Linked DNA regions of Rhinolophus ferrumequinum. The protein of the gene in region 1 binds, or shares a complex with, the protein of each later gene. Links are inferred from orthologs where the notes say so. Each region holds a gene or a part of one and is shown in the gene's direction. Other genes may lie near its edges. The genes, in order: CACNA1S, CACNB3, STAC2 and STAC3.

Region 1 (8,046 bases):
TGCTGCCATTGCTTCTCAGGACCACACGGTGGCGCTGTTGACCAGCGGTTCTGCCCAGTCAGGCGACCTGAGGAGGGACCAGATTTTGCCTGGTTTCTGAGTGGGAGGGTCCCACTACTCACGTTTCCTGAGCTCAGGCAAGGGAGCGCCTCATCAAGTTGGCGGGGGTGCAGCTCCTGGTGCTGGACTCAGTCTGATGACACCCTATTCTTGCTTTCCCACCACAGAACCCCACGGCCGCCCTTCTAAGAACATCCTCCAGGGGGCGTTCTCTTCCCACGGCGCCAAGGTGACCTGGGACCTGTCCCCCCAGAGCAGCAGCTCAGCAACAGCAGACGCCTTGAACCTGCGGGGGACACCCCCTCATTGAACAGGACACGTTTGTTAGGTCAGTGCAAGCCCCACTGAGCTTTTGGTTCACATGTGAGGCCACAAAGAAGATACTGGGGGACGAAGGGGAAAGACCGTGAGCTTGGTTCCATTTACTGATTCCTGCCTGTGGGCCTCGGGCAGTAACTTCACCTTCAGGAGCCTCTGTCCCCACCGGGAAAGCCGGCTGACCTTAGTACATCCTCACAGGAAAGGTGTAGCAGTCAAACCGGGGTGTCAGGGCCCCGTGCTTTGCGCGTCATAAATGATAGTTGGCAGCTCTGATGAGTAGGTGTGGGAAATAAATAAGTTTTGAAAATGGAATCCACACAAATAATATTAAGTTGTATTTATTAAAATTGTCATTAGATAAAAGCTTCAGACCTCCATCAAATTAAATTTAAATAATTAAGTCAACTATAAATAGGGATTATGTGGGGAGTACAGTCTGGATCCCATATTTAAAAAAAAAAAATGCAAGCACTGCTAGTGAATAACTGTGAGCACCCGTGAGGTGCCCAACACTGGGGGAGGCACTGAGGGCCCTCACTCCTGAGTCGATGCTGCGCCCTCTGGTGGCCCCCAATCTGGCCGAAGGCTTGAGACGCACAATCTTGAAAGCCCACGCTGGGAGCTGCAAAGCTCGGGCTCTGGCACCCGGCGAGGGCAGGACTGGGGGAGCAGAGGTGTGGAGAGGGCCGCCGGCCAGTCAGGGCAGTGGAAGCCCAGGGGTAAGGTCAGGACACTTTGTGTGTCCTGGGTCTGATGGAACTGAGGGTCTGTTTGAAGAGATTTTCGAGAACCTTCCTTGGACAGTAGTGGGGAGCCCTCGAAGGCTGTTGAGCAGGGGAGTCTGTCCCGATGTTTCACACACTTATTTCCACTCTTGAAAGCAGAGTGAGTCTCCATGGTGTCAGAATCACTGTGGATTTTTCCTGGTTTTCGTTCCGCGTGGAGGGCAGAGAGCTAGATGGGAACAGACTCGGGGACAGGAAAAGGACAAAGCCCAGGATGTGCAGAAGGAGACGGTTGGGAATGAGCCTGTGACCAGCCTCCCCGTTGGGAGAGAGCTGGCCCCTTCTGTCCCGTGGAGAGGCCTGGCCCAGTGGCCCGGGTCTCCAGCTGTCCGTCACTGTCCACCGGGCGTGCAGCGCCCACTTGCTCACCCCCCAGTCAGTGAATCGCAGGTTTTCCATCATGAGGGGACAGTAACAGCAGTGTGACAAGTGCTCAGATGGCCTCTGCAGGGCATCGTGGACACGCACAGGAGAGGGAAGCAGGGTCAGAGAGAATTCCTAGAGGAAATGACACCTACGTGGACGCAGTAACCCCATACTGATGAGGGTTGGTGGCATTTACATTCCACGCAGGCAGTGACTTCTGAAACAGCCGCTTCCTAGAGCCTGGGCAGGGCTGTGTGTAAGGCAGGCTGCCCTTGCTGCCCAATCCTCTCGGTTATCCAGTCAGTACCTGTGAGCGTCTTCACGCGCCCGGGGCAGGCCAGGCTCTGGGCCCAGCCGCACAAGCACACACGCTCCGGGGCAGTGTCCCCGAGGAGAAGCCAGGGTGCTGTGAGAGGTGCGTCCTGGACCCATGTGCTCCCGTCCTGCCTCTCCACAAGGCAGAGAGAAGGCCGTGAACGTCCCAACACCCCAGGTTCTTGGAATCAAAGATGCGTGTCCTCCAGTGAAGCGTGAGACCCCTTGGAGGGCTGTGGTCACCACTGCATTTCTTCTGCTGACCCAATAATTGGTCTCTGAGCTCCTTGGATGGCAGGTCCAGGAAGGTATCAGTGATAAGACTCATTCCCACTCAAGGAAAAGGACATTATCCGCGCTGTTCCTAAGCCAGGCCCAGGAGCTGTTTGGGGTGTATTTTTTCTCATTTGGTTCTCATATATTATTGTCCTGTGAGGGGTGTTTTAATTCTCTCCCTGTGTGGAAACCATGACTCAGAGGCAGTCCAACCAGGAAGGGGGAACGCGGGATTGGAACCCTGCTCTGGCGTCTTGTCTGCAGCAGGCACCCGCCTCCCCTCACCACACCTACAGTCTGGTGTGGGGCTGGAGTGACACAGGGGCCACCATACCAGGCCTTTCCTAACGCATATGTCCTCTCTCCTCTTCTTTAGAAACGTTCCCGGGGACCCTCTGCAGAGCTGGAACGGCAGTTCCTGACCCCCCAGGCGGCCTGGGGTCCCCAAGGCCGTGAGGAACAAGGCCCAGGCACTGTGGCCCCAGCTCGGAGCCTCACCGTTAGCACCCGCGGGAGGCGCCCTCGCGGGGCTGCAGGCGAGGCGCTGCCAGGTGTGTCGCGGGAGCATGGCCGACGGATGAGGTCACTGGCCCGGAGTCCTGCTTGCGCTGAGCCTCTGCCTGGAGCCACCCGAGTCCGGAGCGATGGCACGCGTTAGGGGAACGGCAGAAGCCAGCCCAAAGAGTGAAGAGAAGCGCTAACCAGTCCTGGAACCCCAGAGCTGCTGCTGGCGATGTGACTCGTCCCCGTGGTGGGGACGTGCAGACCCCGAGCAGGGGCGATTCAGGGAGGGCCTGCCTCTGGGAGCAGCCCCCCGTGGCACCATGAACGGTCACTTCTGCCGGGGGCTGGTGGACCGGGGACCCGCGGTGCACCCCTGTGCTGTGCAGTTGGGCGCCGCGCCCCCTTCCGGGCCAGCGCCCCTGCCAGCGGAGCCCTCGGGCGCCATGCCCTTTTTGCTGTTCCCCGGCCCAGCCGCCGCCTACGCCGGCCTGTTCCCCTGTGCGCCCGGGCCGGGCGCCCTCGGGGGCTACGACGGCCCCTTCGAGCCAGCTTTCATCCAGAAGCGCAACGAGCGCGAGCGGCAGCGCGTGCGCTGTGTCAACGAGGGCTATGCACGCCTCCGAGGCCACCTGCCGGGCGCGCTGGCCGAGAGGCGGCTGAGCAAGGTGGAGACGCTGCGCGCCGCGATCCGCTACATCCGGCACCTGCAGGAGCTGCTGCGCGCCGCCCCCGACGGTCCCCGGTCTGAACGCCCCAGCGACGCCCAGCCGCCGGAGGAGCCCCGCTTCTCCTCCTCGCCCGGCTTGGAGTCGGAGGAATCCAGCCAGTGATGCGGCTGCGCAGGGACGCCTCACTGCCGACAGCGCCTCGGGTCCCTGGGGGGCGGCGCAGGCCCGGACACTCAGGGGCGCGCTGCGCTCCACGTCTGCGAACCGTCCTCCCCGCCCCACGGCCGGCCGCCTCCCTGCCATCTGGGCGGAGGCGCAGGGCAAGGGTTGCCAGTGGCCGGTGCAGACCTAGGCATCCGGCGGGTGCAGCGGCGGGTGCAGCGGGGCGCAGGCCCTGGGGAAGCTCCAGCGCGTGCCGCGCCCTGCAGGTCGCCGGAAGGCCGGCTGGCCAGGACTGTCATCGGGGGGGTCTGGCTCCGAATCAGCTTCGGCTCCGCGCCGGGGAAAGCTGAGGCCCAGCCTCTGGTTGTGCACAGCGGGCGGCGGTGCCCTGCGCGGTCCTCCGTGGCCACAGGGGCAGCCCTGGGTCTGCGAGTCTCCAGAAGACCAGCCGCGCTTTGGTTCGGGATGCGCACCGCCCGAACCTCCACGCGGTGGCCTCACATACCAACGGCCTCTTCGGGAGTTTGCTTGCCCCCCACCCCTCCGCCTGCCCCCGGGAGAGGAGCCCAGAGCGGGACGAGGAGGCGGGCTTCTGCATGCAATTGCCGGGACGGGACCGACAGACTTGGAAAGAGGCGTTGTGTGCGCACTGGTGGCGCCCTCCGGTGGCACCCCCTGGGTCCGTGATGGAGGGCGATCACCCCGCTTCCCCACTCCCCCTGTGGCCTTTTCCTCGTTTTTTCCCCAGTTTGGGTGAGGACTGCGTTTTCCCACCTCATCCTGTGCGCCTCTGTGGCCGGCAGGACCGTATGGGCACAGTGGCGCCGTCTGTGCCAAGGGCCCAAATAAAAGATTTGTTGAGTTGTGTGATTCCTGGATAATGTTGGCCCGCACTTATCGTGAGGTGGGTAAGTGTCCTGTTAGCTCTTACACTCAACTACCATTTACAGAGCTCAGCATATGACATCCAGGGACAGTGTGGGAGGGGCCAGAGTCCCAGGGAGAAAGCACTGGACCCTTAGAGTTAGGGGGCAGGGAGTACAAAGCAGTCACTGCTCAGAGTGGCAGGTACAGTGTCCCCAAGGGGGGCGCATTCCAGGTTCTTCTGGGGGTCTCCACCCCCGTGTACAGGGGTTCACTGTGGGGTGGGGTGAGGGTGGGGAGGGGTTCTGGCCTGAGAGCTGCAGGTACTGCGGTGGGAGGTGGCTACGGATCGGGCCACCCAGCACCTTTTCTGGACAGTGTCATGGGGCTGGGGGAGGGGAAAGTAGCCGTGTCTTAGGCACCATCTCGGAGGTCTGCCCTCCTGAGCCGCTCTCCCCAGCCTTGAAATCTTCCATCCTGTCTCCTACTGCCCGTTCCAGGCCTGCTTGCAGTTCCTCCGGCTACCACCACCCCCACCCTCCTGGGACATATTGGGATGTCACTGGCTAGGCTGGGAAAAAATGACAGCTGCCTGGCCTCAGGGGCACAGGCAGCCCAGTGAGTGGGAGGCTAATTTTACTCCCTGGGAGCAGGGAGAGTAATCCACGGCCCCACCCCCTGGCCCAGCTTTGGCCCTGCAGACTCAGCAGCCCAGTCCCCACGGCGAGGGCACAGAGGACACAGGCGAGGGCAGTGGGTGGGGAGCAGGAGCCGGGCTGCCGGGGAACATGGAGCCGCCCTCCCCACAGGACGACAGTCTGAGGAAGAAACAGCCCAAGAAGCCTGTCCCCGAGATTCTGCCGCGGCCACCCCGGGCCTTGCTGTGCCTGACGCTCCAGAACCCGCTGAGGAAAGCCTGCATCAGCATCGTGGAATGGAAGTATCCTCTGGGCCCGCGGGTAACGTGGGCGAGGGAGGCCACGGAGAGGCTCTTGGAGATGGGGTGACTGCCTCAGAGGAGCGTGGGGGCAGGAAGGCCCCAGCCGTGGGGGGGGCCGAGGAGGAGCTGGGGGGCTCCCTGGCCTGAGTGTGCGGCTGGGTCCGGGGTCCACCAGAGATGCCTGCTGACCACGGGGGCGAGGCCGGGCTGTGTCTGGGAGCCGCTGGCAGGTGTACCTGGGCCCACAGCATCGTCGGGAGGCTCCCCTCAGGCTTGTGAAGCGACAGGCTCATTTTGATATCGGATGGGGGAGAACAAAGCGGTGGGTGGGCTCTGCAAGAAAACCCTCCCCCTGGAGGGGAGGGCGGGGCAGTGGAGCGGGATGAGCCCAGCTGGGGGCGGGGAGGAAACAGGCCTGGATGAAGCGCTGCTGTGAGAGGCCCAGGGCGCAGGCAGGGCAGGCGGGTGATCCTAACTCAGACCCCACTCGACACCCCTTCCTGCGTCTGCATCAGCTCTGGGAGGAGGACGATGAAAATCTCTGCGTTATTTGGGAGGAGGAAGGAGAAAGGAGATACAGGCGGGAGGGAAGGCCCACGTCAAGTGGGTTCTGAAAGAGATGGTCAGGAATATTTGAAATATTTCTGAAGGGCCCTGGGAGACCCGACTCCCGCCAGCTGTTCCCAAGAAGGGGTAACTGCAAAGACAAGAAAAACGTGGGACCAGGTTGGAATCCTTAGGGTCGGAGTCAGCCCTGAGCCCACAGCTGCCCTCGCCCACTGCCTCCCGTGAGGTCGGGTTTTCAGGGGACTCTCCTCCAGGCCTCTGCCCCTGTGGCTGCCTGGGGAACGGGGTTCTCACCCAAGCCCGTCTCCACAGCATGCCTCCCTCCCCCTCCACCCGCCTTGCCTTCCTTTCCCTCAGCTGCTTCCCAGGCTTTCTGGTGGGCCGGCCTCTGGTCAGCCATGCTGCTCACCAGCAGAGCAGGAAAGGAATGGGCCTGGATGCCTCTGGAAGGTGGCCGTGGAGGCCGGCTGTGTCTTGGGGGTGGGGGTGCTGACAATCGGGGGTCCTGCAGTCCTCCCTCGGGCTCTGAGGGTCAGGTTTCACCCCACACTGTCCCTTCCCCAGTCCTGCTCTGTGGGCACCTAGCCTATATCCTATCAGCCCACTTCTCCGAACGAGCCCCCCAGGTGGTCTGGCTAGAATCTCAGAAAGTCACAGCTTCTTGGGAGGGAGACAGGACCTTGGAGTGGAGCCGTAGACTCCTTGGCCCTTACATGAGGAGCCTCAGCTGGGAGCCGGAGCGGCAGGGTCTCCAAGCATCTGAGTGGAAGCCACTGCTCCTGAGCGGAGCCTGGCCCTTCCACGCCTGCAGGAGGAGGGCCCCTCAGCTGGGTGTTATCGGCACTGTCCAGACTGACCCTCAGGCCCTCTTCCCCTTCACCCTGCACACCGCACGCCGCACTCGAGGGCTCTCCTTAACCCTGGCCCCAGACCCTTCGAGACAATCATCTTACTGACCATCTTTGCCAACTGCGTGGCCCTGGCCGTGTACCTGCCCATGCCAGAGGACGACAACAATGCTCTGAACGTCGGCCTGGTAAGACGGCCTCCCTTCCCCGTCCCGCGGGCCTGCGGCCATCTGGGGAGGCCCCCTTGGTGGGCTGTGTGCTGGAGGACGATGCTGGAGCTTTGTCTGAGGATACAGACCTGCCAAAACCACCCTCAGGGCTGCCCCTTCTAGATTCTGTGACACTGCCAGCCAGGCCCGCAGGAGTGCTCGCTGGGCTAAGCCCCTGCCCAGACTAAACTCCTGGATCCTCTCCCAGCCCCATGGAGCAGTCTCACCTGACAGGTGTGGAAACTGAGGCTGAGGTCCCACCTGACAGGTGTGGAAACTGAGGCTGAGGTGCTGCCTGACGTATGGAAACTGAGGCTGAGGTGCTGCCTGACATGTGTGGAAACTGAGGCTGAGGTGCCGCCTGACAGGTGTGGAAACTGAGGCTGAGGTGCCGCCTGACAGGTGTGGAAACTGAGGCTGAGGTGCCGCCTGACAGGTGTGGAAACTGAGGCTGAGGAAGTCAGCCAGTGTGTGATGAGTGCCGAATGCCTATTTCTCCTCCTGGATCAAATCCAGAGGAGCCCTGATTGACTTCCTAGAAGGGTTCCATCCAGGATTCCCAGTACAGGACACTTGTAGGGTTCTGTGCCCCTGTCTCCTCCCTGTCCACCCACACCACACACAAAAACCATAACAGCCGGAGCTGGAAGAGACTGTCCAGACTTGGGGTGTCCCACCCCCTCCCAACCTCATTGTTCTATAGGAGACAAAACTGAGGCTCACTTAGTACTTACTTAGTACTTACCCAACAGCTAGATAGCAATAAAAATGCTTCCCATTTATTAAGTGCTTATTAGATGCCAGATTCTGTGCTAAATATTTTACATTATTGTCTACTTTTGTCCCCATAGCTGCCCCTGTGAGGTAGGAAACATTATAAGATGGGAAACTGAGGCTCAGAGAGTTGGGATACCTGGCCCAGGGTCACCCCCCAGGTGTCTTCTCAGAGGGTCTCAGACTCAGGCCTCTGTGACTCAGCCCCACCCTGTAAGGCGGTGCTGCCAACGTCGTGACAGCATGAGGATTTCTGGGGAAGCCCCTTGACATAGTGGCCTTAGGCGTGTGGTCCAGGCTGGCGAGGGGACTGGACAATGGACCCACATCTCGGTGGCTTTTTTTCTGCACTTACCCTGCAGGGGTGGGCAGCGTCCAGGGCCAGAG
Region 2 (7,270 bases), on another chromosome or scaffold:
AGAGTCCAGCATCGGGGTGCTGGGGGTGTGGAGGAACCAATGAGAGGCTGATCCGTTCAGAGGGTGCAGGGAGAGAGCTGGCTGGGGATACACCCCTGCTCCCCCCTTCCCCCGCCAGAACTTGGGCTTGTCCTGTTTGACGTGCCCGCCGAAGGGGGCGGGAGGGGTACCGACCCGAGGAGCCGTCCCACGACTGTGTACTCCCGGCCGCCCGGCCTGGCCCTACCGGGACGCTGCCAGGCTCAGCCTTGTCGCCTCTGGAGACCAGGATGGAGGTAGGAGGGATCTAGAGCTCCAGGGGGACCAAGTATCTAAAAAGAGCCCCACAGGAGTGGGAATAGAGTGCAGCCTGGAGTCTCCATACTAGGGGTCTGGAAATGGGACCGCAGCTCCTGGAAAGACGCGAGGGAGAGAGGTTTATCCCGGGCTTCGGTGGGGGTCGGGCTCGGAGCTGCGCACCCTCTGCTCCGGCCAGGGCAGCGCCTCCTACTGGTAGGGCCGAACTCCTGCCTGCGGACAGAAAGGACCCCCGGGCCGGTGCCGCCACCTGGAGGGCTTGTGCCGCCACCCGGCTAGTGAGTCCAGGGGGCGCTGCAGCCGGTGGGGGAGGAGCCGCCAAGCCTCACTCTTTGCCTTCACAGGCTGAGTCCCGCGGCGCTAGCACCTAGGAGAGAGCAGTGACGGTAGAGATTCCCCAGGCGCCGGGCGCGTCCTGGTTAGACTGTCTCCAATTCGATCCCGCAGGAGCCACCGGGTTTGGGCCTGGGACGGCGGATGGACGTGGCTTCCCCGAAATCCAGAGGGGGCGCCTTGACGCTGGGGCTAGCTAGCAGTACATGAGCGTTCTTTTTCGATCCATTCCTCTGCTGAGGTCGGTCGGAGCCGCCACCGGGACCAGGGTGCTTTCCTTTCTCGGGCGCTGGAGGCTGGGCGTGGGAGCACCGAGCTGGGGTCAGGGGATCAGAACCTTCTGACCGAAGCTCCAGAGTCGGGCAGCCCTTGAGCTACTCACGCCCTTCTGCCTGCGGCGGTGGGAATTCCTGAGTCCCTTTTCTGGGGAGGGGATAGAGGAAGAAGTGAGGGTGGGCAGGCGGAAAAGGGATGAGAGCTTTATGGATGGAAGGACAGTGGGAGGCAACCCGATAAACAGAGAACAGGAACCGTAGAGAGGAAGAAGATGAGACGGAAATGGAGAGAGCAGGACTGAAAGGCGACGGGAGAGGGCGAGAGTGACAGAGAAGGCGAGAAAGGGAGAGAGGGAGGAAGGGAGGGAAGAGGAAAGGGGGAGGGAACCTGGAGAGAGGGAAGGGAGCAGGCGGTGGAGCCAGGCGGGCGTGGGGCGAGGCCAGGCGTACAGGCAGCAGCCCTTGTGCAGAGCTGCGGCCGGGTCCTGCTCCCGCCTCGGAGCCCCTGGCCCCGGGGAGGGGGAGAGGCCGCTAGTCCGGTCTATGTCTTTTTCTGACTCCAGTGCAACCTTCCTGCTGAATGAGGTAAACGGGGGGGGGGGGCCCCTCCCCAGGGGTGGGAGAAAAGCCCCACTCCAAGCTAGGAAAAGGGCCGTATTTGGGGGAGACTGCAGTGATGGAGAGGGAGGGAAACCAAAGGTGAGGCTAAGGGTGAATGAGGGGGTAAGAAAAAAAGGAGCAGACAGAGCTGGCAGCCTCGAAGCACTGGGACTGGGATAGGAGAGGACTGACTGGGGAGCTAGAAAAGAGGACAGAGAGAGGAGGGCTCTGCCAAACTCCCCCCACCCAACCCTCCCCAGGTTCCCTGGGGGCAGCCTTGCAGCTAGAACATTGGGATATTTGGTTTGGTCCAGATCTTATAGACTGCTGTGGAGGACTTCCCAGAGGTCCTAGCTCCTGCCTCAGTTTCCTCATTCAATGATCAGGGACTGGAATCTGCTCCGCTTCTTGGTACACTTATAGGAGAAGCTAGAAAGTATTCTAGAGGTTCCCAAAACTCCAACTCCCAAACCTGGTTATTCAGGCTTTCCTCCTATGTCCTGCTTCCTTGCCTTGGGTACCTGCTAGCTGCCAGTCTAACAGCTCTCTCCTAATAAGAGGAGGGAAGGAGGAATCCTCTCCTGGAATCCGTTTTTCTTTTCCTTTTTTTTTCCTCAGCTCTCTTCCCTTATGCTCAGTCATGGGAAAGAAAAGGGGTTAGGGGCCACAAGACACTGACAGGCACATGTCTTTTTACAGGACAGAAAGTCACTAGGTTGGCATGAAAACTGGAGTAGACAGGTGTGGGTGAGGTGAGAAGTGGAAGGGGGTATTGAGTAGCAACTCAGAGATAAGGGAGAGAGAGAGGCTCTGAAGCCGTGTGAGACCCAGGGGATGGACCCAGGTAAGAGGAACTTGAACCTATCTCCTGGGGGTGGTTGGCATAGCAACTCATGCTTCAGATGCTTCAGGAGGGAGACCAAAGGAGACTTAGACACCATTGTCCTGTATGGGGATGCTGTCTTTACAACAAGTTGTGTGAGGAAGGAATGAAGCTCATAGCAGATCCACTGTTACCTACAGTCCCTGGGATGCCCTGGTGGTGGGGATTCCCAAAAGGAGAGGCCAGGAGAGTGGATTCAAAGATGGGGAGAGAAGCAGATGCCTCAGCAGCTGTCTTCTTCATTAGAGTTACCTCCCAGGAGAGGGCACGTTGAGGGTCATATTCTCTTACACCTCATGCCTTCTTTTCGCCCCTCTGGAAGAACGGAAGGAATTGAAGAGGCAGAGAATAAAAAAGGAGCATATAGGGATTCTGAGGAACTGGGAAAGGAAACAAAAGTGAGAAGACAGCGTGTCTGGGAACTTCCAAGACAGAAGAGTCCAATATATGACCAACCTCCAAATGATGCTGGACTCAGGAGAGGGAACTGGGAAAGCGGACTGCCTCTCCCAGTAGTGATTGGTCCCCTCAGCCATTGGGGCTCCAACAAAATTGTTTGCCAGATCCAGCAGGAAGAAGAGGCTGTGCAGGGCTGAACTACACCACTCACAGGGTTAGACAGACTGAAGGCAGACTAAAGACGGTCTTAAGAGTAGGCCCTTTCTCTCTTTTTCTTGCCAACAGAACAAGTGACATAAGTAGGAAGCCAGTTGGTTTGGATGGTCTTTCTCTCCCATGAACAGTGCTTTCTCCCATAGGTCTCATCAAACCCTGTCAGTTTTGGTTTTCTAATTCCACTGTAGCCCAGGAATGTAAAGGGATGAGTAGATTCTTGATTCACCCTCCTAGGGGTGAAAAACTGGGAATGGAGAAGGATTGAGCTTCGAAGTTCTCCAGGTGGTAACCTTCTGTCATCTCACATCCCCCTCTAGGTGGTGGGTGCGAGGGGGGCCCATAGGCAGTCAAAATTCAAAGGAATACTTTTGCTCTGGAGATGGAAAAAAAGGAGGGAGCTCCAATAGGTGGATCTTTGGGGAAATTGGCTCAAAATAAGGGCTGCTGCTGCTCTGTCTCTAACCTCAAGTCTCAATGCTCCTTTAAAGGAGACTGACTGGTGCAGAGTGGTACCTGTGGCTACAACGGGGATACCGGCCACTCCAACCCCATCCTTTTGCTAAGGAGAAAATCTGGCCTTAAGCTAATGACTCTGGCCAGATTTGTCCTTCCCCCTCCCGACCCCAGTCTGTCCAGGACCCCACCTTCTGTCACAGCCACAATCCCCCTACCTCCACCTTCTGGTTTCTTTCCCGGTCCCTTAGGCTCACCTAAGACAGCCCCTCCCTGTCCCAATTCCCACGGGTGCCTTGGCAATGCCTGGCACAGTCTTCGGCGAGGAAGTGAGTAAGGGAACCCCCCATCCTGGCCAGACTAGGATGAAATCTGCCTGCGCACCAGGTGTAGGGCGGCCGGACCCAAAACCTGCCCTTTTGCACGGGTTGGGCGACACGGCCCCTTGCTGCAGGGTGCAATGAGAGGGCCGAGCACCTGGTGTGGCAGGAGCTACTTTCGTGGCATTGACGTGGAGTCGCCAAACCCATTCCTCCCCAGTGCCATTACGGGGTTCGCTTTTGGAGTCTCAGGGACCGCCAGGGCCCAGACACGCCTCCCGCTCACCTGGGGCCCCTCCCCCGTCTGCGCCTGCCCCAGCCCCGCCTCTTCTGTCTCCCCATTTTCCTGTCTCCCCCGCCTGTCTCCTGCCTCTATCTCTCCTTTCTCCCTCTTCTGCCTCCCAATAACCTGCGCCCGCTTCTTTCTCGGCTCGGGTCTCCTTTCCCTCCGCCTCTCCGCTCCCCCTCCCCTCCACCGCTCCAGCCCTTTGTTTCCCGGCGGAGTATTTCCTGGGTTGCCGAGCGTCTCAGTCTCCGCATCTCTCCTCGCCCCGCCTTCTCCCAGCCTGGATCCGCCCGCCCTGTCTCTCCTCCCCTTCCTCCCCGCCGCCCCTCGGGTCCGTAGGTGCTGGGGGACCCACCTTCTACCCAGCTCCCGTCCGCTACCCTCTCCCAGCCGGGTCTCGGGCTCCCCGGGTGGCGGGCGCCCCAGTCGCCGCCCCCGCCTGCTCCCGGGGAGGGGGGTCAGGTGGGCGGGCACTATTGTTGTAGGAGCCAGCGCCAGATTCCTCAGCCGCGCTCGGGGTGGGACTGGCTGGGTTTGGGGGGTGGGGTGGGGGTAAGCGGTGATTTGAGCTCCGAGCAGCTGGTCTTCGCGGCTCGCTCCCTCCTTCGCGCTCTCTGGTTCTGCGCCGCCGCCCGCAGGGCTGCGGGGCTCGGTGGCATCTATCGGGCGCGGCCCGCTGTCCTCGCCCCTGCCTCCAGGCCGCTCCCGCCCCCGGCGCCGCTCGCTTCCCCCCACCCGGACTCCCCCATGTATGACGACTCCTACGTGCCCGGGTTTGAGGACTCGGAGGCGGTGAGTGCCCACGATGAGGGTGGGGGTGGGGAAGTTGGGGTGACACTTGCTCTCCCTTGGACCCTTCTCCCAGTCCAGGACTTTGAAAAAACGTGGCGGGGAAGAGCGTTGCGGGGGGTTGGGGGCGCTCCAGGAAATTGGGGCGATGATTTTCGTGCCGCGGGCTCTTCGGTACCCCAATCCTAGACCAAGGAGCTCGGGGTGTGTGCAGGGAGGGAGTAGTGTGAGGGGAAGGCTCGAGCAAGTGGCTCCAAAGCCCAGAACAGAGGGTAGAGGGAGGAAGGGCTAGAGACTGAGGGAACAGGGGCTTTAGAAAGGGCACACGACATGTCTCAAGTTCCCACAGGTGGATTGATCGGGTCTGAACACAACCGCTTTCAGAGGAGAAGCTGAATTTCTTGGGGAGAGGGACAATCCAGACCTCCCATGACACAAATACAGGACAAATTTAGGGAGCCTGAGAGAACACCAGAGAATCGGGTACCAGCCTCTTCAGACAGAAAGATCACAAAACTTGAAGACCTCCATTATTCCTTCCCCCTTCCATCCTGAGCTTGCCTCATCTCTTCACCCTGCCTTTAGCCCAGCTTCTCTCCCAGGCTGCAAAGTGGGCACCCAGCACATGGGTGGGCCAGCTGACTGAGCCCCATCCTGTCCGTGCCTCCTGCTGAGGCATCCTCAGAACAGCAGGCACCCTGAGCTCCTCTCAGCATGGAGGACCTGGAGCTGAAGCCAGAGGAGCTGAGGGCCTGGGGATGGAGAGGAAGCTCTTTGCTCAGAGAACCAGGCAACCGATAAATATTTAATTCTCCTTTTTGCTTTTATCTCCTGACCCACTGAGACAAATCAGCTCATTAGTCAGTGATTCCCGGAGCTCAGGGAGCATGGAGAGTGACTGGAAGGATGGAGCAAAGATGGGGAGCAGCTTCTCAGTGCCTTCTCTCAAACATCCTGCAAGAAGGCCTCCTTAGAAGAGGACCACTAGATGGCTTGGAAGGGGTCCTTGATAGGTGTGGAGGGTAGAGCACTCCAGGATCGAAAGTGGAGTGTTTGAGTCTTCTCCCATCTCTTGCTGCCCAGCCCAGGATAGATGAGTTCTAGGGCTCAGAATAGGCAGCTATCAGTCCTTTCCTGGGCTCCTGCTGGGCCAATTCCCCATTGGGCCTCTGGGCCTAATTACATGGCAGCTAGAGCAGATGATTTTCAAGGCTCTGGTGGACACCTCTTTGTGACAGTTGAAGAGACAGCTGGCATGGCCCAGGGTGCCAAGGTGAGCTTGAGAACAAACCTTCCTGCTTGGCTGGAGGGCCCTAGAAGATTCTTCCCATCACTGGTAGTAAGGCAAGAGCTGTTTCAAGGGAAAGACTGACATGTGGGTGGCGTTGGGGGCAGCCCGCTAACCCATTGCTCACTTCTCACCCCTCTCTGGGCCCTGGATCACCCTCCCCAACTTCCCTTTCTCTTGCCTGGCTCCTTGCTCTCCCTGAGGCCCCCTCTGAAGCAGTAGGAGGGAGATCAGGCTCTAAATAAAGCCACTGGCTCATCTCCCTCCTCTCCTTCCCCCGTGCCAGGCAAGAGTGGAGCTGCAGCCTGCCCACACACTCACCAAGCAAGGGGGGCACCACTAGGGCACTGTGCCAACTCCTGGCAGCTCCAAAGTACTGAGCCTCTGGCTGCTCTGGCATAGTGGGGTAGGGAAGGCAAGACCCCAGAGTAGGCCTGGAAGGGCAGCCCTGACCTCCCCAAGTGATACCAGAGCATGAAAGATGGTGAACTCTGAGGACTTGGGAATAATAGACAGGGGGTTCCATTCTGAACCTGACTCATTAAACATTTAGGGAGAGATTCTATCCTTCCCATCCTAGAATGAGAGGCCAGGTAACCCAGATACCCCAGGAGGGACATTAAGATGACTAAATTAGGCTGAGAGCCTGGAGAGCCGAGATAAAGGCCAGACTCCTCTTCCAGCACAGGTCAGGGCATCTAAGAGGCATCTGATGGATACTTATCAAAGTGAATGATCATCCGGCCTTACCTCCTGCCTCCTGGCCTGTTGTCCCCTGTTCCCTTCGTTCAGCTGTCTCCTACATCTAAGACCCCTCATACATCTAAGACCCCTGGAAGGAGATCCCACACTCTACTAACAATGCAAAGGTTCTTTCTGGGGCTCAGCACCCTTTATCCTACTGCCAAGCCAGCCTTATTTTCTTCTCAAGAGAGATGAGGAACAGCAGGCAGAATCTCCTCCTCTGTAAAAGGAGACTTTCCCACCTGTGCTGTCTTTGTGTCTTCCGTCTACCCCAGACATTGACTTTAGCTTACGATCTAGAGCCTGGGCAGATATCAAGCTGACCTGCCTTCTTGCCTATGGTGGGACTGGGGCAGAGGGCATGGCGACAGCAGGTGTTTGAATCTG
Region 3 (7,893 bases), on another chromosome or scaffold:
GCCGGATGGCTCAGTTGGTTAGAGCCGTGAGCTCTTAACAAGGTTGCCGGTTCGATTCCCACATGGGCCAGTGAACTGCGCCCTCCACAACTAGATTGAAAACAATGACTTGACTTGGAGCTGAGCTGCACCCCCCACACACACCTAGATTTTGAAAAACAACGACTTGACATTCTGGAAAAAAAGTAGCAACCTTTCTGAGCCTCATGCTGCAATTATAAAAAGAGGATGATGAGAGCCTTTACCCCATAAAGCTAGAGTGAAAACCGAATGAGATAATAATCGAGCCCTCATAAATGTGTGTGTCTTTTTTTCTATGAATCTCCAGTGCCTAGTACATCATAGGTTTATTTATTTAGCACTTAAAAGTACAGGTTTATTTCTATAGCACTTGTAAGTAGAGGGTCTGTTTATCAAACACAGTTCTTCAGTGCTCTGCATGTCTTCAGAGTGCTTTTCAAACAGTCTACCTTCTGAGGAAGATGCTTTTTTTTTCTAATATATTATCCCCCATTGTACAGATGAGGACACTGGGGCTCAGAGAGGTCAAGTAGCTATCTCAAAGTCACACAGCTAAGAGGAGACAGAGCCAGGGTTTGAACCCAGACCATCTGGGTCACAGTCCCTGTTCTTAAATCACTGTACTATGCCCCATTCTGCCTGATAAATTTAGTGTGGAATTTAAAATGAATCTCCAGGCAACATTCCAACCTGGAAGCTGGAGAATGAGGTCTACCTACCAAGTCACCCTCACTTCTAACCTCCAGATCCATTTGCTTCCAGACTTCATCCTCTCTCTTTTCTACCAGCTCTGAGCAACAGCCTCCACCCCAGTCTGTGCCCAGGCCTCCTCTCCAGAAAAAGATCCTCCTTTAATACTTTGGGGCTCCTCAGTGCTCATTTCTTCAAAATTCTAACCCTAACAGCTCTCCCAGTCCACTGGATTCCACCCCCTTGCTCACCCCAAAGTGATGACATTGCTATTACCGTGGAAACATGCTTTGTGGGTGGGTAGGGGGAATGGACTGGTGAAAGAAAGCAATGGCTTCAGGACACAATCAGAGACAGGGGATGTGGAGGAGTGGGTAAACGCGCTAGGCTTGGGGAGGGGCCCCCAAGGGCTATGACCCCCCCACACACACAAGACTGCTATTAGCCCTATGTCCCCAGCCTCAAAGAGAAAAGAAACAGAAGGGGCAATAGAGGGTTTCTTCATGGAGGAGAGGACAACATTCCCAATTTCATTTTCCCCCTCACATGAGAACAGGTCTCCTGGACAGTCGGGCGCCTCAGGGGACAGGGGTAGGATTGCGTGCACTGGAACCCCTGTTGTTCCCCTCCAGGGAGCCTGGGGCACAGACAGCAGTAACAGCTCACCCAGGGAGTGTTAGGGACAGTGCCACAGGCAGTGGGAGGGCGGCTCTATGCCAGTGTCCCGAGCTCCAGGGGTTGGTGGCAGCCGGGGGTGGAAGGGCCCTCCTCCAGCCCCTGAGGACCTGGCTGTCCCAGATGCCACAACCGGGAAGTGTGTCAGGCACTTGCGTAAGAGCCTTCTATATTTCCATAAAGTCGTAATTACAGATGCCTGCCATGGGGCTTAGCTCATTAGAGCGGTATCTGCCCCTCGGGCCCTGGGGTGGGCTGGCAGGGGGAGATGGCGGAGACTGGGCAGGGCCAGGCCTCGCGGTGTTTTCTGCATTCCCAGCCCCACTGAGCCTGGACCCTCTTCCTCTCACCAGCTGGGAGATGAAAACTCAGACTTGGCCTTAACCATGACGGACTCCCCCACCCTAGGAGAGCCAATTGCAAAGCTGGAGGGAAAAGCCAGCCGCTCATGTTTTCAGCTTGGACGTTCTTTGGCAACCCATGGGGGCAGAGGCCACAGCAGGAAGGGCTTCAGCTGAAGGTGTTTGTAGGAGAAATTGGGTTAGTCCTTATGGAAGGAGAAGCAATCCCTCACATCAGAGAATCTCAGCCACTCACTGGAGGGGCCCTGGGGGACATTCAGGCCAGAGGTTCTTAATTTGGGGGATCATAGATTCTCTGAGGAGCCAATGAAAACTCTGGACTCTCCTCCAGAAAATGCTTATCCTCCAAAATTTCACAAACCTCCTGAAGCTCACCTACAAGACCAAGGTTAAGAATCCATCATCATCATCATCTATTGTGTATTTCCTCTGTCCATTGCCTTACATATATTAACTCATTTAATCCTCAAAAGAATACTAAGAGACATATAATTATTGCCACGTTTTAATCCAACTCCCCATTTCAACCTAATCTAGTCTATTCTGCCAATCTCAAAAGAAGGAAACCAAAGTCCCTCCAGAGCTAGAAGCTCTCTGCCCAAGGTCGCAGACTGGGATGAGGCCCAGGCTCCCTTCATGTTCTGGACATTGTGCTGCATGCAGATTGGAAGTTATCTGGTCCATCCCTCTGTCCCCGGGTTCCTGAGGGCCCCGCGCCCACTCTCATTCACTTAGCTCTCCTAGTAAGAGGCACCCCAGTAGTTCTAGTTTGACTTCCGGTCTAGGGAGCCCTTCTGAGAATGTGACTGCCACTTACCCTCCTGCAATGCCTTGCCCCCTTCTCTGCCCATCCCTCATTTCTGCACTCTGAATCTGAGATGAGACAACGTTCCTCCCCCTCCAGGAGAAGCCAGCCCGGCTGCTCCTGCCCTGTCCCTGAGCCACTGCAGTAGGAGTTGTTGGCACTGAGACAATGACTCAGACTTAGTTCATGAAAGACCGCTCGGAAACAGCCAGAAAGGACATCCAGAGGTCACGGCACCCAGCCCCCTGCCTCCTCCACATTAGAGAAGTGAGTCCCGAGGGTGTGCAGAGGATGGGTTCACTCAGGCTTCTGGTACCGAGACCAGATGGGCCCGGGGCCATCCACTTCCCTGGCTTTCCTGGTCACCAATACCTGAGAATTCTTCCCCATGTCTCATCAGAATCTTCCTGGGTTGACTCCCCCATGAAATAACCGGCTCCAAACAGCCCAAGAAAGTGAGGGAAGGAAGCCTGTTTCTTATCTCTGCCTCAGGAAAAGCACTGGAAAGGGACAAATCTCCTAGAAGAAAGGAGGGAAAGCAGAACATTAATTTTCCCTGCCTGTCTTCCCTGGGCTAAGTGGCATACTGCATTACCACATTCATTCTCCTAACAGTGAGGTAACACTATGTCCATTTTGTTGATGAAGAAATCAAGGCTCTAAAAGGTTTAGTTACCTACCCAAGATCACACAGTTAATTAGTGACTATATAGGTACTGGACTCTAAGGAACGCAGAGCTTCTGTTGTTTGGGGGGAAGACAGGGTACCTCCCCCAGGAGGTCTCCAAATGCAGAAATCCCTGTTTGCTCCAATCCAGGATAGGTGGAGGGCCTGATGACCCTATCTCAGGGTGCTCCAAGCATCCCTTACAACTCAGTTGCCCAGGGAAGGGATGTTGGGGTGACCTGGACTCGGCAAGCGGTAGGAGGGCAGCCCTCAGAGGGGATTGGGAGAAGGCTGGTAATGAATGGGCCTTTGGGGAGACTGGTTTGAGGGCTGAGGCCAGGTTCTTCTACAGCTCCTTTCAGGAAAGCTAGCACTCAGAGAGTCTGCAGCTGCAGAGGGTAGATGTAGAGGGGGAGGGAACCAAGCCCCCACAAACACAAACCCTCACGTCTGCCCTTGTCCTACTTCTGCCACTGGCAAACAAATCTCTATTCCTGGACACAGTAACCTGAGCAGAGCTCCAATGGTGAGCTCATCCTTGGGAAGACAGAGATTGCATGAATGGTTGTGTGCGTGGGCAGGAGGGGGGGACACAGGGTTCAGTCCCTCCTCCAGGGCTAGCATAAAAGCAGGACCCTCTTGAGTACCACCCACCCACCCATCTCATCACCCACAGCAGATGAGGAAGAGGGAGACAGACCCAAAAATTTCTCCACCCACACTTAAGAAAGGATTCTGTCAATTTCCAACTTACTTCCCTTTCATTGGACAGGCCAAGAGATGAAGCTAGACCTTTTGATCAGGGCCGGAGAGGGCAGGAGGTGAGGGAAGGGGACTTGGGGAAATGGCAGGTAAACAACAAGCATTAGAAGAGGTGCCTTCGGGCCAAGGGGACAGAGCACATCTTGGAGGGTAAGAACGCACTCCCCCCCCCAATTTCCCTACCCACTGATCTAACTCCCATTTATGGTAGGATCTATAGGATGGGGCTGTGTCTTGGAGAAGTTTAGGGGTCTTTAGGCTGAGGCTCCTTCTCTGCTGCAGTCCAGACAGCAAGACTGGAAAGTGACACAGTTGACCTGCTTTACATCCACAAAAAAATTGCCAGGCCTGGCCTTTGACACATGCTGTTAAGTTGTCCCTTCTCTCCTTGAGGAAACCCCTACCTTATAGGCCAGGGGTGTGTATATTTGGAGAGAGTATCTCAAGAGCAGAGAGAGAACCAGGTAATGGGACAGAGGGTTCCCATTCTTCCTCCACTTTGTTATCAAGTCCTAACTTCCATCTCATTCTCAGCTATTCTGCAGATCCAACCTATTTCTATTCCCCCAAGTCCCATCCAGACTCTAACATGATCTCCTGAGCCTTCCCTCAACCTTGTCATGCCCCCACTCCGAATTTTTCAGTGTAAAACTGCCCCCTCCACTTCAGCACCCTCCAAGCCCCTCCCCATCTTGTCAAGGCTTCCAGGCTCCGCCCAGTTCGTCCTCCTGGCCGCGGCGGCAGCCAATAGCTGAGGAGCTGATTTGCATAGCGACGGCTGAGCGAAGGGGGAGGGACCAGGCGACCTCCTAAATCAAAGTTGGGAGGCGAGGACTGGGCGGAGGGGGCTGCCGGGTGCGGGGCTGGGACCCGCGGGGGAGGGAGGGGAATGGGGGGCGGGCGCAGCGGACGGCGGTGCCCGCCGGACACGGACAGCTCCGTCGCTCCCTTCCTCGGCTCATCCCCGCATCCCCACTTCCCTCCTGCCCTGGCTCAGAGCAGCATCCTCTGCAGACCCTCGGTACTCACTCCTGGGGTCGTCCCACTCCCGCTGCTCCGTGTAATTTCCTTCCCTCACCTGCCAACCCGGGAACTTTCTCCGCTCGCGCCCGGGAGAGAGGGGTTGCTTTGCTTGGGCGGGGTTTCTCCTGGGGTTCATTGGGGGCAGTCTTCGGAGAAGGGCTTCAGGGTCCCAGAGAGACGCCCGCCACCCGCATCCCACCCCCAGCGGGCCTGCCGTCGGGTCTCGGTACCCTCTCATCCCCTTTCCCCCAACCATGACCGAAATGAGCGAGAAGGAGAATGAACCAGATGACGCGGCCACCCACACACCCCCGGGGACCGTCTCTGCCCTCCAGGAAACCAAGGTAACTCGGGAGGCGCGAGGCCTGGACCCCTGTCCGGTGCGCCCCCGGCCCGGGCGCCCTCCAACGCAGTTTCCACTGTGGGTTCGGGTGCCCTGGGGTCACAGTAGCGGGCCGGTGTGATCCTTAAGGCTCCGATGGGTTCGCGACGAGGGGCCACTAGGATCCCCCATCACACAAGCACAACACGCCCTTACGCGCGTGATGAGCCGATTCGCTACCGCGACCCTCCAGGGAGGTTGTAACTCGGCTTTGTTGGAGGGAATCGGCGCAGCAAAGGCGGAAGGAGTGTGTAGCCGTGTGTAGCGGGTGTGGGCCGGTGTACGCGCCGGTGTGCGTGCGAGGCGCTCCCCTCCTGTGTCCGCCAGGTCTCTGGATGTAGCTCAGCCTCTCTCTCTCTCTCTCTCTCTTTCTCTCTCTCTCTCTCTCTCTCTCTCTCTCTCTCTCTCTCTCTCTCTCTCTCTCTCTCTTCTCTCTCTCTCTCTCTCTCTCTCTCTCTCTCTCTCTCTCTCTCTCTCTCTCTCCTCCTCTCTCTCTTCTGTGTCTGTCTCTCTCTGCAAATGTCTCTACAACCTGTTTGTCTCTGTCTTGGTATCTCCCTGTGTATTTCCCGGGTTCTGTCGGCGTCTCTATGTGTTTATCTCCGAGTCTCTCTGGACGTCTCTCTCTGACCCGCTGCAGTCCTGCATTCCCCCCTCCCAACCGGGTTAGGCTCGGGGACGTGAGGCCGCGGCCCGGGGGTGCGCAGCTTTCGAGTCCACGCTAAGGGCTGCGGCAGCGCGGGCCATCGCGGGCGGGGACCGGAGGACTGTTGTTGCGGCTCCAGAGCAGAAAGACAAGCATCCCCCACTCCCCACCCCGGAAGCGGGACGGGGGTGGGGTGGAGTTGGGCGGGTAAAAGCAAAAAGAGAAATCGTAATTAATGAATGTCATAATTAACCCTAATTATGTATGGATGTTACTCCTGCGGGAGTCACAACGAATAAATTATTCCCCACTGAAGTCAGGCGGAGAGCCCAGACTCCTGGCACTGAAAAGGGGGAGGGGAAGAGCGCTGCTTGCATTCAACGCCCCACCCACCCACCCACCCAATCTGTCCGCTCCCTCCTCCAGTTCTAGGTGTTCCCGACTGCCCGGCAAGAAGTTCTGCAGAAGCAACCTGAACGGGTCTGGGGATGGGGAAAGAAGCGACTGTGTTTAGGCTTCAGGAAGGGAGACTCCAGGCTCCAGGCTCCCCCTCCCTAGACTTCAGGCCAAGACCTACTTCCCTCTCCGTTCCACCTGGTGTTTTGTTCCCACTCTGCTTCTGCTATCCATGTGAGGACGGGGCAATTAGGACCAGAAATGGATAGTGATACTTTGGCTCTCCCTGGTATCACTAGCTCATCTATAGCTCTCTCCAGTGCCCATCTTCCTTCTCATTCTGTCTTGATCACCCCCCCAGGATATGAGGTTAATTCAAGGTCAAAGTCATCAAGGGAGTGACCAGGGGGAGATGAATAGGGCCAGGGTGGAGTCTGGCTGAGGCATCCCAGGAAGCTCCCCATCCCTAAGCCAGAGAGACTCAGTGGGTCTCCATGTCCAAATCTTCAGATAAACACTTGACCTTCTCCTGCCCCCTTCTAAGAAGGAGACTCTGGGCTCTCAGAACACAGAATTAACTTCCCCTCGGAGAGTTAAGTGTCTGTTGGGAAAGGAATGAGGAGCTGGGGTGGAAGGATATTGCTTGGAATATCTGTGACAGCTTCTATCAGGCAGAGGATCCCAGGAGCTGAGCCCTATCCTGAGTTCCAAGGCCCCTGACCTTCTCAATTGCCTTCTAATCACCCTGTACACACGTACATAATCCCCATGCTTGCTTCCCAGGGGCTTGGGGGCCTCCCAGGCCCTGCCATGCTTCCCACACCAAGGCCTGTCAGCCATGCCTCTTCCTTAAGAGCTCTCCACAAGTAGGCAGGAGTGAAAGCAGGTGGGAGCCTGGGCAGTGCTGCCTGCTGCCTCAGCAATCAGCAGGCTGCAAGCTCAGCTTTGTTGGGAGGGGGAGGTCTGGACCTGGCAGGTCTGTACCACCCTCCTTCCAGCCCAAGGACCCTCCAATGCCATCAGCTCTGGGTCTGACCATAGAGATCCCAGGAGCAGGGGAGGAGGGGCAGTGCACCTCTGACCTGGACCGTCTGTGCCAGACCAGTTGGAGCCCTGTACCTTTGCCCCCTTCCCCTATACTTCCCCTTTGTGAAGAACTCAGTAAAAACCACACGGGCTGGGCTGGGGATCAGGAGGGCAGAGAGAGAATAATTCAGGGACCTTGCCAGCCTCCTTTTACCCTCCCACCCCCAGTCTGTCTCAAAGAAACCTCTGTCTCCAGACTGTAGGAGTGGGAGAGATGGAAGGGAGAGGATTGCTTGCTGCCCATCCAACTCAACTTGAAGCAGGTACAACAGAGGAAGCTGGTGCCCATCAGGCAGTGAAGCCAGCATTCCAGGCTTATATATCAGTGTTTGGGGCCCACTAGGCATTTCTTGCCAGCTCAAGTCCAGCCTCCTGCTT
Region 4 (7,513 bases), on another chromosome or scaffold:
ATCTGTCCATCTGCCCTCCTCTGCTCCATGGCCAGTCGACTTACACGGTGCACCAGGTAAGGGTGTCCATCAGCCTTAGGGCCGTCAGACACCCCCTTCGCACTCGGGCCCCTATCTCTGAGCCATCTACCTCAGCCAGCTGGGTGGACAAAGGAGACAGCAGACAGAGAATGGACAAAGTGGAAGGGCCTTACCGCACTCCAGTACCATTCATTCCTTTCTCCCCACCCCGTGGCCAAGAGGGAGGGGCTCTTTGTTTCTCAGTGGCTATTTGACCAATCTGACTACCTGGTGAGGGGGGTCCTCAGGGTTGGGTGCTGCTCCTTCCTTAACTTCTCAGGCAGACACTGGAATGCGAGGCAGTCCATGTTATTTACCCAGGATGAGAATTATCTTTCTGATGTTGAAGGGACAGACTGGGTTGAAACATGGAAACCGGAGCAAGAGACAAGCACTCAAATCTGCCTCCACTGACCTAGGGACGACAGATGTTGGTGAGTGACAGGATGCCGAATCTCCAAGAGAAATTGCTCACCCCTCCAGCCCTACATTACTAGCCCAGGATGGCAGGGAAAAGCCAGCTTAGGGTGGGGAGTAGAAATGGTACCCTTCTGTACTCAGGAGCAAGGAGAAGTTGCAGAAGTGAAGTATCTCTCTCCTCCTTACCAAGCTATTCCAGGTGCTGGGGAAGATGATGGTAAAAATTGGGAATAACACAATGATGGGGGTTGCTGAGCCTATTATCAACAGAGTCTTGTGGCAGTGGCCCTGACTTTAGTCAAGGTTGTCTACCTTTGGTAGTCCTTGACCTAATTTAGGAGAAGCTTGACAAAGGAATGTGGAGGAGTAACGCCTCCTGCAGGCCTTCCGTACTAGGCATACGAGATCTGTCAGGATTTCCCCTATTTGGAACAGTTTGCTAAACAAGGAAAGGAGGGGAAACTGACTTCCATAGATAATAAAAAAGGAATCTACTGGGGCCAGCCACTGGGAAGGGAGCTATGGAACATATTTCAGATTACGCTACTGACTTTGTCAAAGAACATCAGCAAAAGCCACACTCCTTCACAGTAACAGCTCCCTGTGAGAGAACTGAGGTGCGGGTCTCCAGATCTTCAATCTGGGATTCTGGTTCCCAGTCTCTCCTTGCCTGCATCTCTAGGCTAGAGGAGAAAGGTTCCTTTGTTTCTCCTAGTTGCCCTGCTGAGAGTCTGGATAGTGAGGAGTTGGGTTGACTGGGGAAGGAGGGAAGGGCGAAGTGAGAAAGGCCAGGCTTTTGAGAATGTTGTATACAGACATGGCCAGCTGGATATTTGTGCAGTCCTTCCTACTCTAATCCTCTCACAACCTTGTCCTCTCTCCTTCCCTTCCAGTCCTGGGGCGGGTGCTGGAGGTGACAGATCTCCCTGAGGGCATCACTCGTACCGAGGCGGACAAACTCTTCACTCAGCTCGCCATGTCCGGCGCCAAGATCCAATGGCTCAAGGATGCCCAGGGGCTGCCTGGCGGAGGTGGGGGGGACAATAGTGGGACTGCCGAGAACGGCCGCCACGCGGACCTCGCTGCCTTGTACACCATCGTGGCTGTGTTCCCCAGCCCCCTGGCGGCCCAAAATGCCTCCCTTCGCCTCAACAACTCTGTGAGTCGCTTCAAACTTCGAGTGGCCAAAAAGAACTATGACCTGAGGATCCTGGAGCGAGCCAGCTCCCAATAAAGGGAGGAGGGGAAGGGACCAGCACAGCAGGGGAGAGGGCAGGGTGGAGGGTGTTGAGGGATCCTGATAGACCATGGACAGAGACCGAAAGGAAGGTGACAGACACTAAACTGGAGCCTAAAACAGTAGGGATGAAGATGGAAGCAGACACTCACACTGGCACTGGACTCCTTCTTACTCCCCTGCCATGGGTCCCCTCTTTTTCCCTGGTTGGCCTTCCTCTGCTTCCCCCTCCTTCCCATCCTCTTCTATCATTTTTGATCTCTTCTCCCACCATGAAATTAATTTCTTTGATATTTTTTGGTTAGGTAGAATTGGGAGAGTCCTACACTCCCCTGTTCTCCTGTTTCCTGATCATCCCAAGCTCCCTTTTCTTTTTTGGTCTTTATGAATATATTTATATGGACAGAATTAAGAAAAATGAAATTGATTTCCCTTTTCTCTCACTTCCCCCATCTTGTCTCCCCAAACCCCAGAGTTAAAACTTGGGCCTTCCTCCACCCCTACTCCCCAGAACACTTGTATATTGTTTGTTTGAGGTTCGTGCCGAAGTAACAGATACAGTATTTAATTGCACATAACAGATGTTTGCTGGGTATATTCACTGTAAATTTTATTTAATCTGAGTTTTTGTTTGTTTAGGGGGCATCATTTGGGGGGAGGTTGATTTTGTTTTTAAATATAAAAAAAAAAATCTGTCACTGGACGTCAGTCCCTGTTTCTGTGTTGCCGCCCTGGGGTGGGTAGGGGTTGGAGGTCCTGGGTAGGTACAACCCCACGGTTATTGGAGGGATTTGATGTGGGTTTGGATGGCTTTCCTAGCATATGCACCTATCTCATCCTAACACTATTCCCTGTGTCCCAGCCTCCTCCTTACACATAGTTCTGAGGTACCTGGGTCTCTAATGGGACCTGGGTCCTGGGTGCTCCCAATTCTGCAACTAACTCTGATTCATCAAGCACACACTTCTCAACTCGACACTTCTGAGTCTGTATCAATAAAATAAGAGATGTGGACTGACTAGGTGACCCCTGAGTTTCCGTCCTCTCAGTTAATTCTGTAACACTCATTTAGGGTCCTTGAGCCTGAGCTGGGGACGGGGAGTTGAGGTCCAGACCTGGATTCAGATGCGCCTCATACCTGTCCGTCTAATGTTCAGGGATAGAAGACTTGGGCCTTTAATCTTAAAGCCAGGGGATTGGGTTCTACCTGGCAGGAACAGAAGTGGATGTTTCTTACAATACAAAGCTCCGTCCGTTAAATTTGCAATGCCCAGATGCCATATTACCCAGATGTCCTATGCAGCTGAAGAAAGGTGAAGAGCAGAAGTCACCTGCCTACAAGATGGAGCTTTTCCTCTGAGGCTTCTCAAAACTATCCTAGTTGTTTAGCCTGTCAGACCAGTTGTTAAAGAGCCTGTAGGCACAGAATCATCCAGCAGCCCCCTTTCAATCTGAGCCACCCCTTAAAGAGAAAAAAGAGCAGAAATGACAAAGAACATCGCCCCGGAAATCTCTTGGCTCTGGGTAGGAGTAGCTCTGGTGAGGCTCGCTCCTCTGGGGCTTGTCTGACCCAACCTCCAAAGTAATCCTTTACTTTTTAAAGATACAAGGGATAAAGCAACACTATGTCGCCACCTCCAAATTGCTCCCCTACCATGGGAGTATCTCCCTTTCAGCGGTGTCAGCACAGAGCAGAAGGCTGCATCCCTGGGAGATAAGAATGCCAGATAGCTCACTGAGCCATCAGTTCATACACCGGGGCCTCAGAGGAGGGAAGAGGAATCGGGATCAGAATGATTCAGGAAGGGTGAGGCTTGGCCATCCTACCACCTCCCAGAGTTTGCAGTTCTCATGAGGAAGGGATATTCCTTACAGACGGTAAAAATGCCCTGCGTGGCAGCTGTTTGTTACCGTCTTTCCAGTGTGAACAATAGCATCTCTACCTGATCATTAGACCCTTCCTCTTCCAGAGCCCTCAGATGGGGGTCACAACCTGGCTTTGTTTAATAGCTCTCAGAAATACCTTCACCCTGAGGACAAGATTTTAGAGGAATAGGGGGAAAGAAGTCTTTGGGAACAACTGGAAGGAACACAGCAGTACTACACGTTCTTCACTCCCATAAGGACAGCAGCATGTACCCCTCCATCTACCCGTAGAGAAGAAAGCAATCTGGCTGATAGGAGAGCTCTGAAAATTCAAATTTTCTTTTCTTCACCAGTTCCCAGCCTTTTCCTTCTTAAAGGCTTGAAGGCATAAAAACACATGGCCACAAGAAGACAATGGCTGAGAAGTCAAAGCCTAGTTCCTGAAGTAGGTCCAGGGAGGGCAGAATTGGGGAGGTGTTTGGGCCTTGGAGAAAGGGGATTGGGAAAGCTGTTTGTAATTCGTCTTTCCATTAGTCATCTAAAAATCACCCACGAGTACACAGCATGAACACTGTCTCTTCCTGAATTTAGCCCATACTGACTTACACACCATAGATGAAAAACCAAGGAACGGCAGCTCTGGGGGATGGGAGAGGTTAGGGTCCAGCCCTGCCCAGACCTCTCCGTGTCCAATTTCTCTGTGTCAGCTGTGTCGCTCAGCTGTCCACTTTCCTCTAGCCCTGTCATTTCAGCTTTGACACCAAGGCAAGAGGCTAGGTCTACAAATACCGCCTGGGTAGCCAGTGTGAGTACAGAGGGTACTGGGGGGGCTTAGCCCCCAAGGAAGAGGACCAGTCCTCCAGCCCCACCACCAACACCGCAGGGGCTCCTTCCTCCCTCTACTGATTGTGGATTGACTTAGGGAACCCCAAACGTAAGTTGCCAATTCCCCTTTTCATTTCCAGGACTATTCACCCCGGCTTCCCCAATCCTGAGTCTGTTCAGCTTCATTTCTTTCCTTGTCTGTGAGTAGTTTGGGTTTTAGGAGTGAAATTACTGTTCTACTCCTGGACAAAGAGCTAGGACTGGAGGGGGGGTGGGGGTTGGGTCAAGGGAACGGAGTAGTAAGAGAAGGAAAGGCTCCTATTACTCTGAAAACTTAAAATAGCTGAGGCCTGAGGCAGGCTGGGAACTAGGCCCTGGGCCTCCAGGGCTCAAGAAAGAGGTTGGGATAACAAATGTCCCAGCGCTTCCCTCCACACATCAAACCTCTCGAAGAAAGATCTCGGGAAGGTGTGTGTCATGTCTCATTGCCCACAGATTTTGTGAAACAGGGTCTGTAGGAAAATCCCTGGGGTTGCCCTTCAGGGTGGAAGGATGGATATCGTTAGAGGAACTGGTTGGGAAGTTCTTTTGTCTGTTGGGCTTTTCTCTGGACCTCAATGGAATCTTCCTGTTCATAAGCCCTATGAAAGGATCTCTGTTTAACCAAATTTCTCCCAAAGCCTCCCCTTCAAGGACCACCCTATTACGAGGGATAGGAATAAGGGAGGGAAGAATGGCAGTCAGAGATTAGATTTCATAGTGGGGTCCAACCTCTTGCAGGATGACAGAAAAGGAGGTGCTGGAGTCGCCCAAGCCCTCCTTCCCAGCAGAGACTCGGCAAAGTGGGGTGAGTCTGGGCCTCTGACCATGGGGTGTGGGGAGCTGCAAAGCCACCGCAGCCCTTGAAAAGTGCTTGAATTGATGGCACTTATATGCGACTCATTTATTGTTAGGATGCTAGCCAGCACCTGCACCCGCCAGTACCCCCTAATCCTGGGGTGTGCCCCTTACCCCAGGTTAGGAACATGTCTAGTTAGCCTCAGCCTTACCTAGAGAGCATGACAATTCTTTTAACATTGGGTTTCCTTCATTCCCTCCCTCCCTCCCTCAGCTACAGCGGCTGAAGCAGTTATTCAGGAAGGAGTCTACAGGGACAAAGGAAATGGAGCTTCCCCCAGAGCCCCAGGCCAACGGGGAGGCAGTGGGAGCTGGGGGTGGGCCCATCTACTACATCTATGAGGAAGAGGAGGAAGAAGAGGAAGAAGAGGAGCCACCCCCAGAACCTCCGAAGCTTGTCAATGATAAGCCCCACAAATTCAAAGAACATTTCTTCAAGAAGCCCAAGTTCTGTGATGTCTGTGCCCGGATGATTGTGCGTGAGTCATGAAGGGAAGTGGAGAACGTGTGATGTCGAAGGCGGGACAGGGGGAAAGGGTTTAGCAGAGGAGTGTTTGTATAGCAGACAGGCTGTGGCAAGAATTGGCTTTAAGAAAATAACTGTTAGAGACCTCAAGTGTGGGCTCCCAGACAGAAGAGGGACCTGAGAGCTAGAGTAGCAACAACGGTACAAAGGCAGAAGGAAACAGGAGCCTCACCGAAATGTTCTCCCCTTCTCCCAAGTCAACAACAAATTTGGGCTTCGCTGTAAGAACTGCAAAACTAGCATCCACGATCACTGTCAGTCCTACGTGGAGATGCAGAGATGCTTCGGCAAGATCGTGAGTAGACTGGGGAGCCAGACAGTAGGAGGGAGCAGACAGGTGCCAGCTACCCCCTTGCCAGTCCCTCCTCAGGTCACCCCATCCATTTTCCTGCCTTTTCTTTCTCAGCCTATCTCTTAACTTCGAGAAGGGGTGAGCACTCATGGGAGAGATGGGGTTCTGGGCCCTACTGTGTTCTCTCTAATGCTTTCTCCCATCCCATCTTACCCTGCAGCCCCCTGGCTTCCGTCGGGCCTATAGCTCCCCACTCTACAGCAACCAGCAGTACGCTTGTGTCAAAGATCTCTGTAAGTGCCCCCCCTGGGACCTGAGGGAATGGGCAAGCCTAGATAGAGATGGTTTCAGCACCATCTCTAGCTTTGGAAGCCAAATTCTGAAACAGAAAGATTCTACTTCCTGTGGTTCTCTCTCAACCTAATATTTGAGCCATTTTGGATGCAGAGTCAATACTCCCGTTTGATAGCTGAGGGAGATAAGATTTAGCTAGATCTCCACACAGCTAGCAAGAGACAGAGCCAAGACGAAAACCTTCATCTGCCTAACTTCAAAATCTGTGCTCTTCATATGCAAAACCATTTTTAAGTGAACAAAGATTCTGACAATCCTCATCCTCCTTACAGAAGAATTCCAGACTCAGGGCCAGACCAAGAGCTGTGGACACCCTGGGCACATTCTTAATTTGGCAACCCTTACAAAACGTTATTTGACAATTGGCTCCACATTTATTTGGAGGAGAGGCTGAATTCTGTGAGGAGCATGGGTGTAAAAAAGAACTCACTGGTGGTGGCACCCCAGCTGGCACATGCCACTTAGTGGAACAAAAGCCAGCAGTTAAAGGACCTCTCTACTTAGAAGGAGAATAGTGATTCTGAGAATGCCCTGCCTAGAAGGAGTGCTGATAATATTTTTCTCGATCACATTACATTTCCAGTGATGTTTTTGGAGCTCTTTGTAGATTGATGACTTGTGTTTGCCCAAGTGACCCTTCCCTAATCTGACAGACACACACAGACACACGCACACACGCACGTATCTGCTCAGTCCCACCTCTCCCTTGCTTAGGCGGTGTCTCTGTCCTCCAAGCCTTGCTCTGCCTCCCCAGTAACAGCTTCTTTCTTCTTCCATTCCCACTAGCTGCCGCCAATCGCAATGACCCTGTGTTTGAAACGCTGCGCACTGGGGTGATCATGGCAAACAAGGAGCGGAAGAAGGGCCAGGCAGATAAGAAAAATGTGAGCGCCGCCCCTTCCTACTGAGATGCCTTCCAGAGACCCCAGGGAGCAGCACCTGGCTCCTCTCTGGAAAGCTGACAGACGCTAGGGATCCTTATTTCCTAAAATCGCACATAACCAGACAGACACATTTTGCATGCAATTGTAGAGGT

Evidence for each region.
Region 2: CACNA1S (region 1) and CACNB3 share a complex: the UniProt entries of both Homo sapiens proteins name them as parts of the calcium channel complex. The link is inferred for Rhinolophus ferrumequinum from reciprocal best matches to the Homo sapiens genes CACNA1S and CACNB3.
Region 3: the proteins of CACNA1S (region 1) and STAC2 are in contact, whole or in part, in a crystal structure (PDB 6B27), measured with the Homo sapiens proteins. The link is inferred for Rhinolophus ferrumequinum from reciprocal best matches to the Homo sapiens genes CACNA1S and STAC2. Residues at the interface, in NP_000060.2 of Homo sapiens: Glu749, Pro750, Glu751, Ile752, Pro753, Ser755, Pro756, Arg757, Pro758; in NP_945344.1 of Homo sapiens: Tyr301, Lys302, Phe303, Gln306, Glu307, Asp310, Asn326, Asp328, Trp329, Phe340, Pro342, Asn344, Phe345.
Region 4: CACNA1S (region 1) and STAC3 share a complex: the UniProt entries of both Homo sapiens proteins name them as parts of the calcium channel complex. The link is inferred for Rhinolophus ferrumequinum from reciprocal best matches to the Homo sapiens genes CACNA1S and STAC3.

The regions. Positions count from the first base shown.
Region 1 is NC_046310.1:1,102,398-1,110,443, forward strand, and holds the start of CACNA1S (voltage-dependent L-type calcium channel subunit alpha-1S), read left to right. Parts: upstream 1-5,025; 5' UTR 5,026-5,109; coding exon 5,110-5,261; coding exon of another isoform or gene 5,262-5,280; intron 5,281-6,758; coding exon 6,759-6,864; intron 6,865-8,046. Other genes in the region: ASCL5 (achaete-scute homolog 5), read left to right, coding at 2,948-3,457. UniProt on the Homo sapiens protein: Pore-forming, alpha-1S subunit of the voltage-gated calcium channel that gives rise to L-type calcium currents in skeletal muscle.
Region 2 is NC_046293.1:49,939,794-49,947,063, forward strand, and holds the start of CACNB3 (voltage-dependent L-type calcium channel subunit beta-3), read left to right. Parts: upstream 1-4,138; 5' UTR 4,139-4,809; coding exon 4,810-4,854; intron 4,855-7,270. UniProt on the Homo sapiens protein: Regulatory subunit of the voltage-gated calcium channel that gives rise to L-type calcium currents. Increases CACNA1B peak calcium current and shifts the voltage dependencies of channel activation and inactivation.
Region 3 is NC_046304.1:35,985,852-35,993,744, reverse strand, and holds the start of STAC2 (SH3 and cysteine-rich domain-containing protein 2), read left to right. Parts: upstream 1-4,814; 5' UTR 4,815-5,003; intron 5,004-5,210; 5' UTR 5,211-5,259; coding exon 5,260-5,349; intron 5,350-7,893. Other genes in the region: transcription factor CP2-like protein 1, read right to left, coding at 2,926-2,943. UniProt on the Homo sapiens protein: Plays a redundant role in promoting the expression of calcium channel CACNA1S at the cell membrane, and thereby contributes to increased channel activity. Slows down the inactivation rate of the calcium channel CACNA1C.
Region 4 is NC_046293.1:56,296,130-56,303,642, reverse strand, and holds the start of STAC3 (SH3 and cysteine-rich domain-containing protein 3), read left to right. Parts: upstream 1-4,316; 5' UTR 4,317-4,517; intron 4,518-5,188; 5' UTR 5,189-5,189; coding exon 5,190-5,255; intron 5,256-5,519; coding exon 5,520-5,784; intron 5,785-6,028; coding exon 6,029-6,126; intron 6,127-6,343; coding exon 6,344-6,416; intron 6,417-7,263; coding exon 7,264-7,361; intron 7,362-7,513. Other genes in the region: R3HDM2 (R3H domain-containing protein 2), read left to right, coding at 1-56, 410-494, 1,374-1,714. UniProt on the Homo sapiens protein: Required for normal excitation-contraction coupling in skeletal muscle and for normal muscle contraction in response to membrane depolarization. Required for normal Ca(2+) release from the sarcplasmic reticulum, which ultimately leads to muscle contraction.